3 linked regions of the Danio rerio genome follow. The protein of the gene in region 3 binds, or shares a complex with, the protein of the main gene of each other region. Links are inferred from orthologs where the notes say so. Each region holds a gene or a part of one and is shown on either strand. Other genes may lie near its edges.

Region 1 (4,281 bases), on a different chromosome or scaffold from region 3:
CAGCTGCCCTTTACTCTAGTACCACTTCTGCTTTAGAGAGCATGCAATTAAGAGACATTAAGAGAAGCTTGCATTTAACAATACTTTAGTGTGTATTATGACTGTTAAGATGCTCCTCGCACAACGATCATGACCAGGAAGTCCTCTTCTGTTTTGGCAAGAGCTTTCGCAGAAGAATCTAAGAACTGCTGAGAGAAATCACATGGTGGAAATGCGTGCAGGACGCCAGTGTTGTCCTTATCTCTACTGCCGCCGACGGGCAAACTGATGACCCCGGCGGCCTGCTTTTGCTTCAGGTATGAAACCAGGTTGCGGAGAGGCCTCTGCGTGGATGCTGCTGGGTCTGATGATGAAGTCTCCTCAGAGCTGCCTGGAACTGCCAGTAGAACTGCGTAGCCTCCTGGGCCTGCCACTTTGATGCGCCGAGACACCTCGTCGATCTTGGGCTGGTCTAGACGAAGCCGTTGTGTGATGCGCAGCTGAGAGACTTTTCCACCCGTGCTGCCGTCGATGAGAAGGCTGGTGGCGACGCTCAGGTCCCCCTCCAGGAGGTGCATGCTGGCTGGGAAGTTACTGTTCTTGAGGAGCAGCATGCCATTCCAGGCCATGCTCAGCTTCCCCCCTGCGTCCTGTTTTGAAGCTTGGTTGCTTTTGGAGCTGCTTTCGGATCTGTCCCTCTTGGATGCACCTTTAGCTGAATCGCCCGCTTTGCGCTTTCGTTCTGCAGGGCTTGCGCCGATGCTGGACTCAGAGAGGTTGCTGTTGCTTTTGATGCGTTTCTCACCGGGAACTCGGTCCAGGCTGCTGCGGCTCTCTCGTGCTGGGGACACCCGGTCTGCTCTCGCTGGACGCTCAGAGTCACTGAAACGTCCGTCTCGGCTGCTGCCGCCTGGGCTGCCCTCAAGCGACGGGGGTCTGCGACGGCGGGCCGCCCACTCACTGCTGCTGTCAGGCGAACACTCCAGATGTCTGCCGTCCTCCATGAGCCGCCGTTTTCGTGCAGCTTCTCTGCCTGGCAGCTCTCGCTCCAGTGACCAGGCCTCTCGCCGTCGTTCACGCTCTAAGTGTTCAAGGGGCTCAAATGCAGGAGTTCGTACACGTTCACGAATAGTAGGTGCTGGCCACTCAGCCCCAGCATAGAGTTCTCTTTCTCTGAAGTGCAGTGGCGGAGGAGTCCGTTCTCTGACCCTGATGGCTTCAGGGGTGGCACGATGAACGAAAGACTCAGCCATGATTTCATAATGTTGCAGGGGGAGGGGCTGCAAGAACTGTTGTTGGTAGCGATGCTCTGTGTCAGCAAAGTCCACCCTCAGCCTCCTGTCAGGACCACCAAGAGGAAATCCACGCATGTGTGTGCAGGCTGCCTGAGCAGCGTCCAGGCTTTCATACTGAATATAAGCCCAGGTGTCCCCTTTTCTGTAGTCTATAGTCCTAATAGTTCCAAAGCGGTCAAATTCCCGGGCTAATGCAGTCAGAGGCACCCAAGGGCCAAGACCACCCACCCATAGTCTTGTGGTTGGGGTGGCTTTACCATATCCAATTTTTATGGGGTTTCGGCCCACAACTTTCCCAGACATGCTAATTTTAGCTCTGTGAGCCATGTCCAAATTCTCAAATTTAAGGAAGCCATAGGTGCTGCTCTGGCCACGAGTGGGTCTTTTAATGTCCACCTCAGTGATTGTCCCAAATCGTTCAAAAGCCCTCCTCAAATCGTTTTCAGTCACAGTAATATCCAAGTTACCCAAAAACAGTGTGCGGTTGGCTCTCTGGTCGTCCTCTGGAGAGATAAAGTCCTCCTCACGGAAAGGAGCGGCTCGCTCTGCTATGTATGCGGGCCGCGCCCTCGCTTCATAAAAGGCAAACTCTCTTTCTCTTTCCAGCTCTCTGGGCAGAGGCGGGGGTGGGGGAGGAGGAAGCCGACCCAGTGCTAACTGCTGTAACCGGTAGTCCCTGTAGCCCAGGCCGGTTGGAGAGAGCGGCCTCTGAGTATGCAAATGTCTATGGCCTGCAACAACAGAGAAATGATCCTCCTTCACCGGAGAGCGACTCCTCCGCCTGTTCAAGTAAACTGCCTCGATTTTTAAAGGACGGTCGTAGAGCACCAGCCGGCCTCGTGCGTGCTTTGCCGCCCTGGCATCATCCGGTCTCCTAAAGTTGACGAATGCGATTCTCTCGTCGTTCACTCGGCTGATTTTGACGCTCACGTCACCAAATTTTTTGAATTCATGAAAGAGGCCGTCCTCGATTTCCTCGTCACTCAGCTGCGAGCCAAGCTCGCTGATTTTTAAAGTTTTGTACTCACTTTCGTTTGTGGGAAGCGGTGCGCGCGCCTCCCCGCGCGAGTTGGTGCGCGCCGCCTCTAAGGACAGACTCGAGGCGTGATTTTTGCCGCTTGAGCTCGCAACAGGGCTCGTGTAACCGTGGTTATTACCAGTCCGACTGGATACATGTCCGTCAAATTCCCGTCCGTCTCTTTTATCTCCAAGCAGTCCCCGTCGTGCAGAGCCCCCGTCGCTTTTAGACGAACTATTGCCGTTGTTGCTTCCTCCGCCAGAATTCGAGATAACCCCCATTTTCTTACTGGTCGGATGGCTTCCTCCCCTGTCTCGTATATCATCCAAGGCCCTTGAACGTTTTTTCACCGGCGACCGCTCTTTACCTTTCATGTTAGATGTCCTCTGGCTTCACGCGCCTAACAAAACACTTTTTTAACTGTAATGCTACCGCAACGTCAACGAATTTGCACGATAAACTGAATAAATTGTTCAGTGTCCCTGCGGCAAAACAACCGCATACGCCATCTTGTCAAGACTAAAACATGACCCGCCCGTCGACTTTGATTGGTTTGAATCTCTGAGAAACGACAGCGCTATTGGCTGATCCGTCTGTCAATCTAAAGCACTAGTACAGCGCCCAGTCTCGCTGTACACCATTTTAGCTTCAAAAGCCAAATGTTTACTATAGCCACTTTATAAAACACAGAGGTGACATTCAACTAACCACACATATAGTCTTTGAGAACATGTACTGCCAATATTATATTTGCTTCTTAAACCATATTTATTAATCATCTCGATAAATCTACAAAGAGTGCTTTGTATAGGCTATTTTTAAAATTAAACGGTGTTTAACTTTAATAGATGCTAAGAGTCTGAGTTTCACCTACATGTTATTTCTTATAAATTTAAATGAACTGTGCAATCTTTATAAAACGTAAGTAATCCAAATAAAAAAAAACTAAAACATTCTCGTTGTTCACTTGATGTCCAACAGATGGTGGTGTTTGCCTTTCACAGAGGTGAACGGACGTGAAAAAACAGCCTTTTAACCATGTCGGTCAGCTATAGATGAGCATTTTCCATGGGTTTTAGCCATTGGTTTTAGCCTAATAACTGAAATAATTTCTTAACTAAAACAATGCAGATCTCTGATTATATGCCCATGTCTGTGAATTTTTTTTTATGTTAAATTGTAAAAAATAAATAAATAAATAAATAAATAAAAGTAATGTTATTGCCTTTAAATTAGTTAAAATTTATCTTAAAACAATTTAGTGTTTTACAATTTGCATGCTTTACTCATACCCTCAGGGACCATTATAGTTTTAACTTATACAATTATCAATTCAACCATCAAAATTAAAAAAAATTACCCCCAAATTATTATTTTTTTCAATGAAGAAAAATAGGAATATATTTATAGGACAATGCTTTGAACTTAATACAAAAACGTCCAAAACCTTAAATGAGTGATAATAAAACAAAATACAACTATTTTAAAAACTTTATCATGCACATAAACACATTCATCCAATGTTGATTCACCAGAAGACAAATTGAACAGCCAACGTGTCATTTATTTATTTTTTACAATGCACAAACTGCATTCAAAATCAAACACTTTCTTGAGTATTTGAGTAGGCTACATACTTTGAAAACACGCCCTACATAATGAACATAGTATTGTTTGAACAATCTAGAACTACAAGATTAGCCATGTTTTAGTGTCACGTGCCCTACATCTTCAGTTACGTCACTTCACTGGCATTCACAGATCCTCTCATGTTGCCTTATGGAATAGTCCCTTGGAAGCACATTGCAGAATCTCACCAAAAGAAGTAGGTCATCTGAATACTTACTACAAGTATAATGAACCTCTTTGTTTTTTACTTACTATAACATAATACATTTCCCAGCTATGTGTTGCAGCTGGAAAAGGGATCCGCTGTGTAAAATATTTCGTCACCTTGGAATTATAAGGTTCTATCTGTGTTCTGAATGA
Region 2 (4,132 bases), on a different chromosome or scaffold from region 3:
TCATATTTGAGATAAGTTTAGGTTTATGCACATGGAACAGAAATCTGCCATGTCAAGTTTGTATATTTGTGAGATTTGTACCATTCGGCCAAGATCAAGGCCTTCTCCTGAGCCACACCACAAGAATACAAAAGAGCGAATGGATGAGATTTCCTCTATGTTCAGCTTCATGATCTAAAGCACACATGAATACAAAAATAAGTTATTATATATGTTAGGACATCTTACATTATTATATTATATGAGCATAAAATATATAATAACTGTTATCTAAATGGATAGTTCATCTAAAAATGAAAATTCTCACCATTTAGTCAGACTCAAATGGTTGTAAATTGTTATCAATGTCTTTCTTCTGTTGAACATAAAACTAGATAATCTGAAGAATGTTGGAAAATGCAGCCACTTACATCCATATTAGGAACAACAAAAACAACTAAAACAAACAAACAAAAAAACTATGAAAGTCAACGGCTGTTTTCCCCCAGCATTCCTCACTATATCTGCTTTTGTGTTTAACAGAAGAAATGAACTCAAACAGCTTTGGGACAAGTGGGGATGATAGAATTTTCATTTTTGAGTGTAGTCAAGTATATCTCTAATGTGTATTATAATACATAATTGAAATCAATTTTAAAAACATTCTCATGAGGTTGATTTTGAGAATTTGCAGTAACTCACATCGTCCCAGTTCCAAAAGCGCTCATTGGCAATGATGCCTGACTCTCTGTAATATTCCTCTAATGGAGGCTCTATCAGAATCACATCAAACTTGCACTTCAACTCTCTCAGATCAAACGTGTCTGGATCTGCCTGGAGATACCTGAAACGCACACAAACGCAAGAGTTATTACATTCATAAAAGCATTGAAAAAGACCCAATTGTCCCATAGTTAAATGCTTCTAATTATTATAAAAAATAACTGATTTTATTTGCTTAGCAACCTCAAAATCACTTTTGTTTTTAGTACGTTCAAATAAAATTCTAGAATCTAAATAAAACCCAGTGTTTTATACACAAATGTGAATAATTTTCAGGTTTCAAAAACTGCAAATGGGCACCACTGGCCGGTATGGGCCCTATGACATAGACTGAGACCAAGTTTTCTTACATGGGGGGAGTGTTGGTGGCAGAGATGAGTTCATCTTTCAGTCGAATGAGCTCTCTTTGTTTGGGGTATTCCTCAAACCTGTCAGCCAAACCTACAGCACATGAGAACACACAGGTTAACACACTCTCAAAGTGGAAAACTAAAAAGAAAAAGTAGAAAAACACTTTACCTCCATCTCGGATAAAGTTCTGAGGTCTATGACCTGTGTCCACAAAGTGCTGGCAATAATCATTGTGAGGATTTAAACTCTGAGTGCCCTGTGAAACAAGTAATGATATAATAAAAACATTACTTATGTTATTTTAGTAATATTTAGAGTGACTTTGCATAGACATAAACTATGCAACTGAAAAAGGAACCAGAAGAAATAAATCCCCTATGACATCTTATACTGATACATAATACAAAGGAATACAAAGGAAAGAATGCAGAAAGCAGAAAAAGCCAACAGGTAAATGAGACTATCTCTAGCTTTCTGTATGTATATACTGTATGTAACACTTGTTTCCCAAAAAAGCTCCAATAACTAAAACTGTTCCTAGTCCTTGCATTACAAACATGTCAAAAGCGAGAATTTCCTACATTAGTTCTAAGAACTATGAAACATACCTTAATTGCAAAACCCAATGCAGTTTACGTTTACTGTAAGGGACAGTTTTTCTGATGGAATGAAAGAATTTAAAGATCGTACTTTTCAAAAATTACCATGTTTTTGCCTTTAATGACAGTATATAGTGGTAACCGTTTTGTGAATATATGTCTGAGTATCCTCACAAAAATATCATAGCTTCTCATACCCGATTGCTCAATTAAATCATATACAATTGTGTTTAAAGATACCTTTAGAAATGTGCTGGAGTCCTTGTACACCTCTTCATATGGTCCACTCTCTTCCTGATGTTGAGGCTCAACATCTTCCTACACCATACAGCAGATTCAAAATCAGTTACACATAGCTCTGACCTGATCAAATGTAAGGGCTTTTCTGAATTAACAGCCGATTCCTGATCAGCGCTCTCTCACCTTTTGCTCTTCCACATCTTCCTCTGGATCTTCACCCTCATTCAGACACTTCCTTTTAGCACCAGGAACTGATATGTCAAATGATGCCCTACAGTAAACAAACCAAATGGTAACTGACCTCAGCATCGTTCTGATTAATACTAACTTACAAGTAGCAGCATCACATACCCGTGCTGAATGTAAAGGTTGTCCTATCAGTACAGTTTTAGCTCTTTTGGGGTATATAGGTCTTAGTGTTCTTTATTTTTTAGTGCTGCACATAGTCCTTGAATTTAACAAATGGTTTATACCTGCAGGTCTCTCTAGTCTCTTCAATCTCTTTTTGTTCATCTTTACTGTTGAGAACTGCGCCGATGCTGTCGGGACTCTCTGCTCCGAGCTGTAAAACAAATCATTAATGTCATAAAACATTCGCAATGCTTCTACGTTCATTGGCGTTAGTAATATAACACCGCGTTAATATGGCAGTGTTTGCTAAAACTGGCTTTCTGCAGGAAGAAATAAAGTTGTGTATTCGTACCTGTTGTGCGAGAAGCTGACGTCTGAGCTTCTGCCTTTCCCGTATTTCTTGCAAGCGGCTGTTCATGTCGAAAATGTTTTGCAGGAAAATAGCTAATCGTGAAATGATCAGATGACAACAATAGTGCGGCAAAAATCCATTGAAACCCTCAACGTGAGAAACCGTCGCATGTATTTTACATCATCACAATGCTTGACGCATACGGTGACGTCAGTAGACGGCCTCTTACTTTTATTTGGAGTAAAAACAACTAGCGTAAACAAAATGTAATAATGATTATCTTTGAATGATTTGACTGTCAGTGTTCCTTCAGCCATTAGTTTTTGGAGATCACAATTTCAAGACGTAAACTCGAACCAGACTTTTAAGATCTCCAGACGTTTTTGTATAACTGAAAAATTAGAGAGGTAACTTAATATTTAAAATTGTTAATCGTTTTTATCATGTAAAACAGGTAATTGCACAATTTTGTAAAGGTGTTGACTTAAAATGTGTTTTCTGTAACGATTAAGAAGAGAGTATTGTTCATTTATTTTGATTGTATTTATACACTATTGTTTTGGTGTGATCTTTTTTTTTTTTGCGGAGTACGAGTATTGCATTGGAATTAAAAGAAATGATGTTTATTATGAGAATACAGCCGGCTTCAAAATTTGGTATAGTGTTTGCTCATTATATGTGGAATTTGTTTTATTCGTAAATGTAAATGGGCTGTGAAAAAAACCTAATTTTACTCATTTTAAAATAGAAATAGATCATGTACGATATAAAAACAAAAAATACTAAAACAAAAAGCAATGTTAATTATTTTAAAGCCTTAAATTTAGACTTTGAATAATTGTATTTTTTCTTTTCTTTTAATATTGTATTTGTTTTGATCTATCCTTGCTGACTGAAAGTAACTGAAACCGATTTTAAAAATATATTTTTAAATTAGCTATTATTCTATAATTAATAATGTTTATAATTTCATAAATGAAAAGCATTGATTCTGGTTGCATTTTACTGACACAAGAGGGCAGAAGTGAACTTTTGGCTGTTTGTCATTGTGATTAGTTCTGAAAGCTTGAGCCGAAATTTGTACACCGTGTTGTCTCGGAGAGACCAACAGTGATGACCAGACCAGACTAGACGCCAAATTACTGATATAACGTGGCAGACTCTCGTTTAAGTTCACTCTGTGGGAAGATCGGCGCGCGCAGCTCGGGCGCTATCGTGGAATGATTTATTTAGCAATTACTATTTGCCTCGTAGATTCTTTTTCTATTGTTCTGCAACTTGTCACTATTAAATGAAGGACACTATTGATTTTTACCATCAACTGTTCTCTTTTTAAACTTGAAATCCAGACTGGGCGACGATCATCAATATGCATGAGTCATAAGCTCCGGGCTTCCCCGGTTTCTCTTTTATTGATCCGCGTCTGCTGCTCTGATAACAGCCAAACGACAAGATGAGAAAACTCGGGTACCATGTC
Region 3 (4,060 bases):
CAAAAGCATATAGTAAACCATTTTATGGGTTTACAGGCTTTTTTATTCAATGTCACAAGAACTACGGTCACATCAGAGTAATAGTTCACCCCAAAAATAATAATAATCAGTCATCGTTTACTCAGACTTGATTAAAAACCTGAAACTATTAACTATTGATAGAATTATTTTTCTCCATTGAAGTTAAGTTTCCAACAATCTCAAGACGTCTTTTCTAATCTTCTTTTGTGCTCAACACAATAAAAACTCAAACTGTTTTAAAACAATTAAAGGGTGAGGAAATTAAGACAGAATTTTCATTCTTGGATAAACTTTCCCTTTATTAACATTAATTATTAAAAAAATATTAGAATAAAACAATGAGGCAGCATAGGGGTGTAATGGGTAGCACAATCGCCTTACAGCAAGAAGGTCGCTGGCATTTCTGTGTGGAGTTTGCATGTTCTCCCCGTGTTTGCGTGGGTTTCCTCCGGGTGCTTTAGTTTCCCCCACAAGGCCAAAGACATGCGGAACAGGTGAATTGAGTAAGCTGTTTGAAGTAAATTGTTTAAGAAAGATTTGGTTTGAAAAGCAACATAATATATTTTTAACTAGGCTATACACACAAATCACTATAACATATCTATGTTTTCTGCCAAAAAAACAAACAAACATTTTAACACAAACTAATCTTGACGTTGAAACTAGTTCATCTTTTTTGGTATTATCCATTTTTTTTGGAAAAATCTTTTACATTTTATTCGAAATAAAATTTATAATGAATGTACTTTTTTACGAGTATGAACAAAAGTAAACAGTTGTATGTGGGGAACTTAATTTTGCTGCTTGCTAAATTTCACATTCATAAGTCAAAATTTTCTTACTCCAGACCTATGTTTGTGCTTTTTCTGAACGAATTTAAACAATATCTTTCACTGATCCAATTGTCTCAAAACAAAAAGGCTCTAAAAACTTAAACTGTCTGCGGCTCTTTCCCAATGTTTGATGAGTACATTTTGCTTTTTCAGTATGTACTTTTTATATACCCCCTGTCTTAGCTGTTTCTTCTTTTTATTTGTTTGTTTTGTGCCGTTATTTTTCTTCATTGTTAAAGATAATTGTTCTGCCTATTTGTTGTTGTATGTATTAATTGTATACACTGTTTATGGGCTTAATAAAAAAATAAAAAATAAAAAACCTTGACGTACGCCTTCAACCCCGGAAGTATATCGCTCACCGGAAGTTCTAATGTGATCAAGAAAGATGGCGGGGGATTCTGCAATGGAGCTGCTCTTTTTAGATACGTTCAAGCATCAAAATGCAGAGGTAACGTTAAACATGCAGCGTTTCCTATCTTCACTCGTGACTTTCAACAGGATTTTGCAGAGGCCATAAACTTTTACACACGTTAAAATATTTTCGCGCGTTCTTAAAGTTTCCATTCTAGTAACGCACAGGGCGCTGTAAGCAGTTAGCTTGCTAATCAACCTAACCACAGCAATTTATACATATCCTCTACATTCAAGGCAACAATACAGCTCGTGATTTCATAATAACTCTGTATTCTCCTCCAAAACATTTATGTGAGCTGTGCTATGGCTGAACATGTCTAATGTGAAGACATAAGGTTTAAGTTGTTTCTCGGTGCAAGCAGACTATAAACAACGTGGCTATAAACAAGCAGTATGTAACATTAGGTTACTGTGACAAACCAAAGATTTGATTTTCTTTACAATAACGTGTTTTTGTGAACATAGGGTAGCGGTGCTTGTTTAGTAACCTCTCCGGTTCTCATGAGCTTGATTATCTGACAGGAGCGCTTGTGTTTGTAAACAAAATGGTCAGTCTGTATAGAAGAAATTCACAGAGCCTGGGGGAAAAGTGTTTGGAATTTTTTTGGTAAAGTTGGTTTTATATTTGCATATTCGGACTTTCTTCTTAATAATATCATATCTGAAAAGTATTATTTGCAAACTCTTAATCGGGAAATCATAATAGCAGTCAATGACTATCAAAGTACGACACTGTTTACAGTCAGTTAAATAGTGCTGATGTTTTGACGTCATTTAAATGCGATTTTACATCCAATATTTAAATTAGCATGGTAAACGGACCGTTAAATGAACGAATGTGCGAATATGAAACCTTTACCTCTGTGTGTTTGGAGTTGGGCCAAATAGAAATTACAAACCATTGTGTTTAATGTATAACTTTGTTGGTCATATTACGTTTTTTTTTGTATAAACAGTCAACATTATTATTCTTCCTTTGAATTTTAATTACATTTTCAAATGTTTCATTTTCAAATATAGTAGTGTTTAAATAATAGTTTTAATTAACTTACTAGTTTATAATTGCTAATTTCTTTTGTCTTTGCCATGAAGGCAATATTTTCCAAGATACTAGTTTTCAGCTTAATGTGCAAGTTAGTGGCTTGACTAGGTTTTTAGGCTAAACAGACAAGTCAGTAGACAGATTGAGCTAAAGTTGTTTTTTTATTCTCACATTTGTTCAGTAACACGCACCCTTTATTGTTTACCACGGTACTTTGAATATACGGTCTGAAATCACATGCAAGTATGACTTCGACAGACCATCAGCACTATTTAATTGACTGTGAACAAATTAAAAATAACAAATAAAATAAATATTAAGGAGAAAGTGCGAATGTGTGAAAAACCAACTTCACCTTAATGGTGGACTGGTTAGTTCTGTATTTCTTGTTTGGGGGTTAATAATATTGGCCTTAAAAATTACTTTAAAGAGCTGCTTTTATTAAAGCCAACAAAAAAAAGTGTTTTCCCCCAAAAAAGAAAATTCTGTGAAAACGTCCTTGCTTCGTTTAATATCATTTGGGAAATATTTGAAAAAGAATAAAAATTTCTCATGAGAGCTAATAGTTTAGCATTAAACTGTATATAAAAAGATTTTTGGCCTGTCTTTTATAGTCTCACATTTTTTGTGTGTAAATATTTTTTTGCTGTTGTTGCTTGAATGTTTTGTTCATTGTTTCTATGACTGTTTTTTTTTTTATGGGTTTTTTTTCAGTATGTTTTTGATATAGTTGTAGTTTGTGTGATCACATCTGATTGCTAAACGTTTTTAGCCAAGCAAAAACCTGCATTTATTAATTATATTCAGAGAAAGATTAAGCAAAATGAACTTAACATAAGATAATTGAGTAACTTATGCTTTCACGATAATCAATATATCATCTTATCAAACAACATGTCGACATCACCACAATCATTTTTGGTGAGGCAATATATATCACCCATACATAGAAACCAATTCTAGCAACATTTCATCTGATTGTGCAATGTATCTGTCTCTATTGGAGGTGTCAGTGTCGGTATGGTTAAAAAACATTATAGTATTTAATATAAATGACTATGGTATATTTTCATGGGAGTGTCTGACAACAAAATAGATCTGGTAGTCGATATTGCAGCCTCTGTTACTTTTTACCTTGCACTTTTTTTCTCAACATTTATTATTATTTATTTTGTTTATTCACATTCTGATTCCAGTGCCTAATTATTAAACTGTTAAAATTACTGTACTTATATGAAATATTCTTAAGAGTAAAATATGATGTGGTCTTTGGAGGAGTGTACATTCTGGCATATAATGAATGACATAAAATGGTCCTAAAATGACAGTAATTTTGTTTATCGCAATATATTTTGGTGCAATATTATGTACAATAAAAAAATAGATATCATGACAGGCCTATGAGTGTCTATATAAACTTAGCTACACTTTATTGATGGGTCTTTTTCGACATTTGTTTCTAATTACAAGTTAACTAGCAGTCACTACACTACAGCATCAATAGACTGTCCCCATAATATCTGCTGCTAACAGTTTAATGATGGTTCAAGACCACAAATTCGACTGACAATCAGTAACTTTGTAAGTGTGTGAACTTCTTATCTGCTAGTACTAATAGCAACCTAACAGTTTACTGATAGTAAAGTAGTACTGCTAATTTTTTTCAACAGAATGTCTATAGAGGACCACTAAAATGAAGTTTAATGTTTTGTTTTTTTAAATCTTCAGTAACTGATTACCTGAAATT

The links. Proteins that work in one complex are often made in the same cells at the same time.
Region 1: virma (region 3) and rbm15 share a complex: the UniProt entries of both Homo sapiens proteins name them as parts of the WMM complex. The link is inferred for Danio rerio from reciprocal best matches to the Homo sapiens genes VIRMA and RBM15.
Region 2: virma (region 3) and mettl14 share a complex: the UniProt entries of both Homo sapiens proteins name them as parts of the WMM complex. The link is inferred for Danio rerio from reciprocal best matches to the Homo sapiens genes VIRMA and METTL14.

Annotation. Positions count from the first base shown.
Region 1 is NC_133183.1:26,684,715-26,688,995, forward strand, and holds the start of rbm15 (RNA-binding protein 15), read right to left. Parts: upstream 2,814-4,281; 5' UTR 2,667-2,813; coding exon 105-2,666; 3' UTR 1-104. UniProt on the Homo sapiens protein: RNA-binding protein that acts as a key regulator of N6-methyladenosine (m6A) methylation of RNAs, thereby regulating different processes, such as hematopoietic cell homeostasis, alternative splicing of mRNAs and X chromosome inactivation mediated by Xist RNA.
Region 2 is NC_133176.1:21,570,408-21,574,539, forward strand, and holds the start of mettl14 (N(6)-adenosine-methyltransferase non-catalytic subunit METTL14), read right to left. Parts: upstream 2,814-4,132; 5' UTR 2,722-2,813; coding exon 2,656-2,721; intron 2,515-2,655; coding exon 2,426-2,514; intron 2,224-2,425; coding exon 2,136-2,223; intron 2,031-2,135; coding exon 1,953-2,030; intron 1,370-1,952; coding exon 1,282-1,369; intron 1,204-1,281; coding exon 1,113-1,203; intron 824-1,112; coding exon 682-823; intron 175-681; coding exon 82-174; intron 1-81. UniProt on the Homo sapiens protein: The METTL3-METTL14 heterodimer forms a N6-methyltransferase complex that methylates adenosine residues at the N(6) position of some mRNAs and regulates the circadian clock, differentiation of embryonic stem cells and cortical neurogenesis.
Region 3 is NC_133191.1:29,802,335-29,806,394, forward strand, and holds the start of virma (protein virilizer homolog), read left to right. Parts: upstream 1-1,217; 5' UTR 1,218-1,242; coding exon 1,243-1,305; intron 1,306-4,060. UniProt on the Homo sapiens protein: Associated component of the WMM complex, a complex that mediates N6-methyladenosine (m6A) methylation of RNAs, a modification that plays a role in the efficiency of mRNA splicing and RNA processing.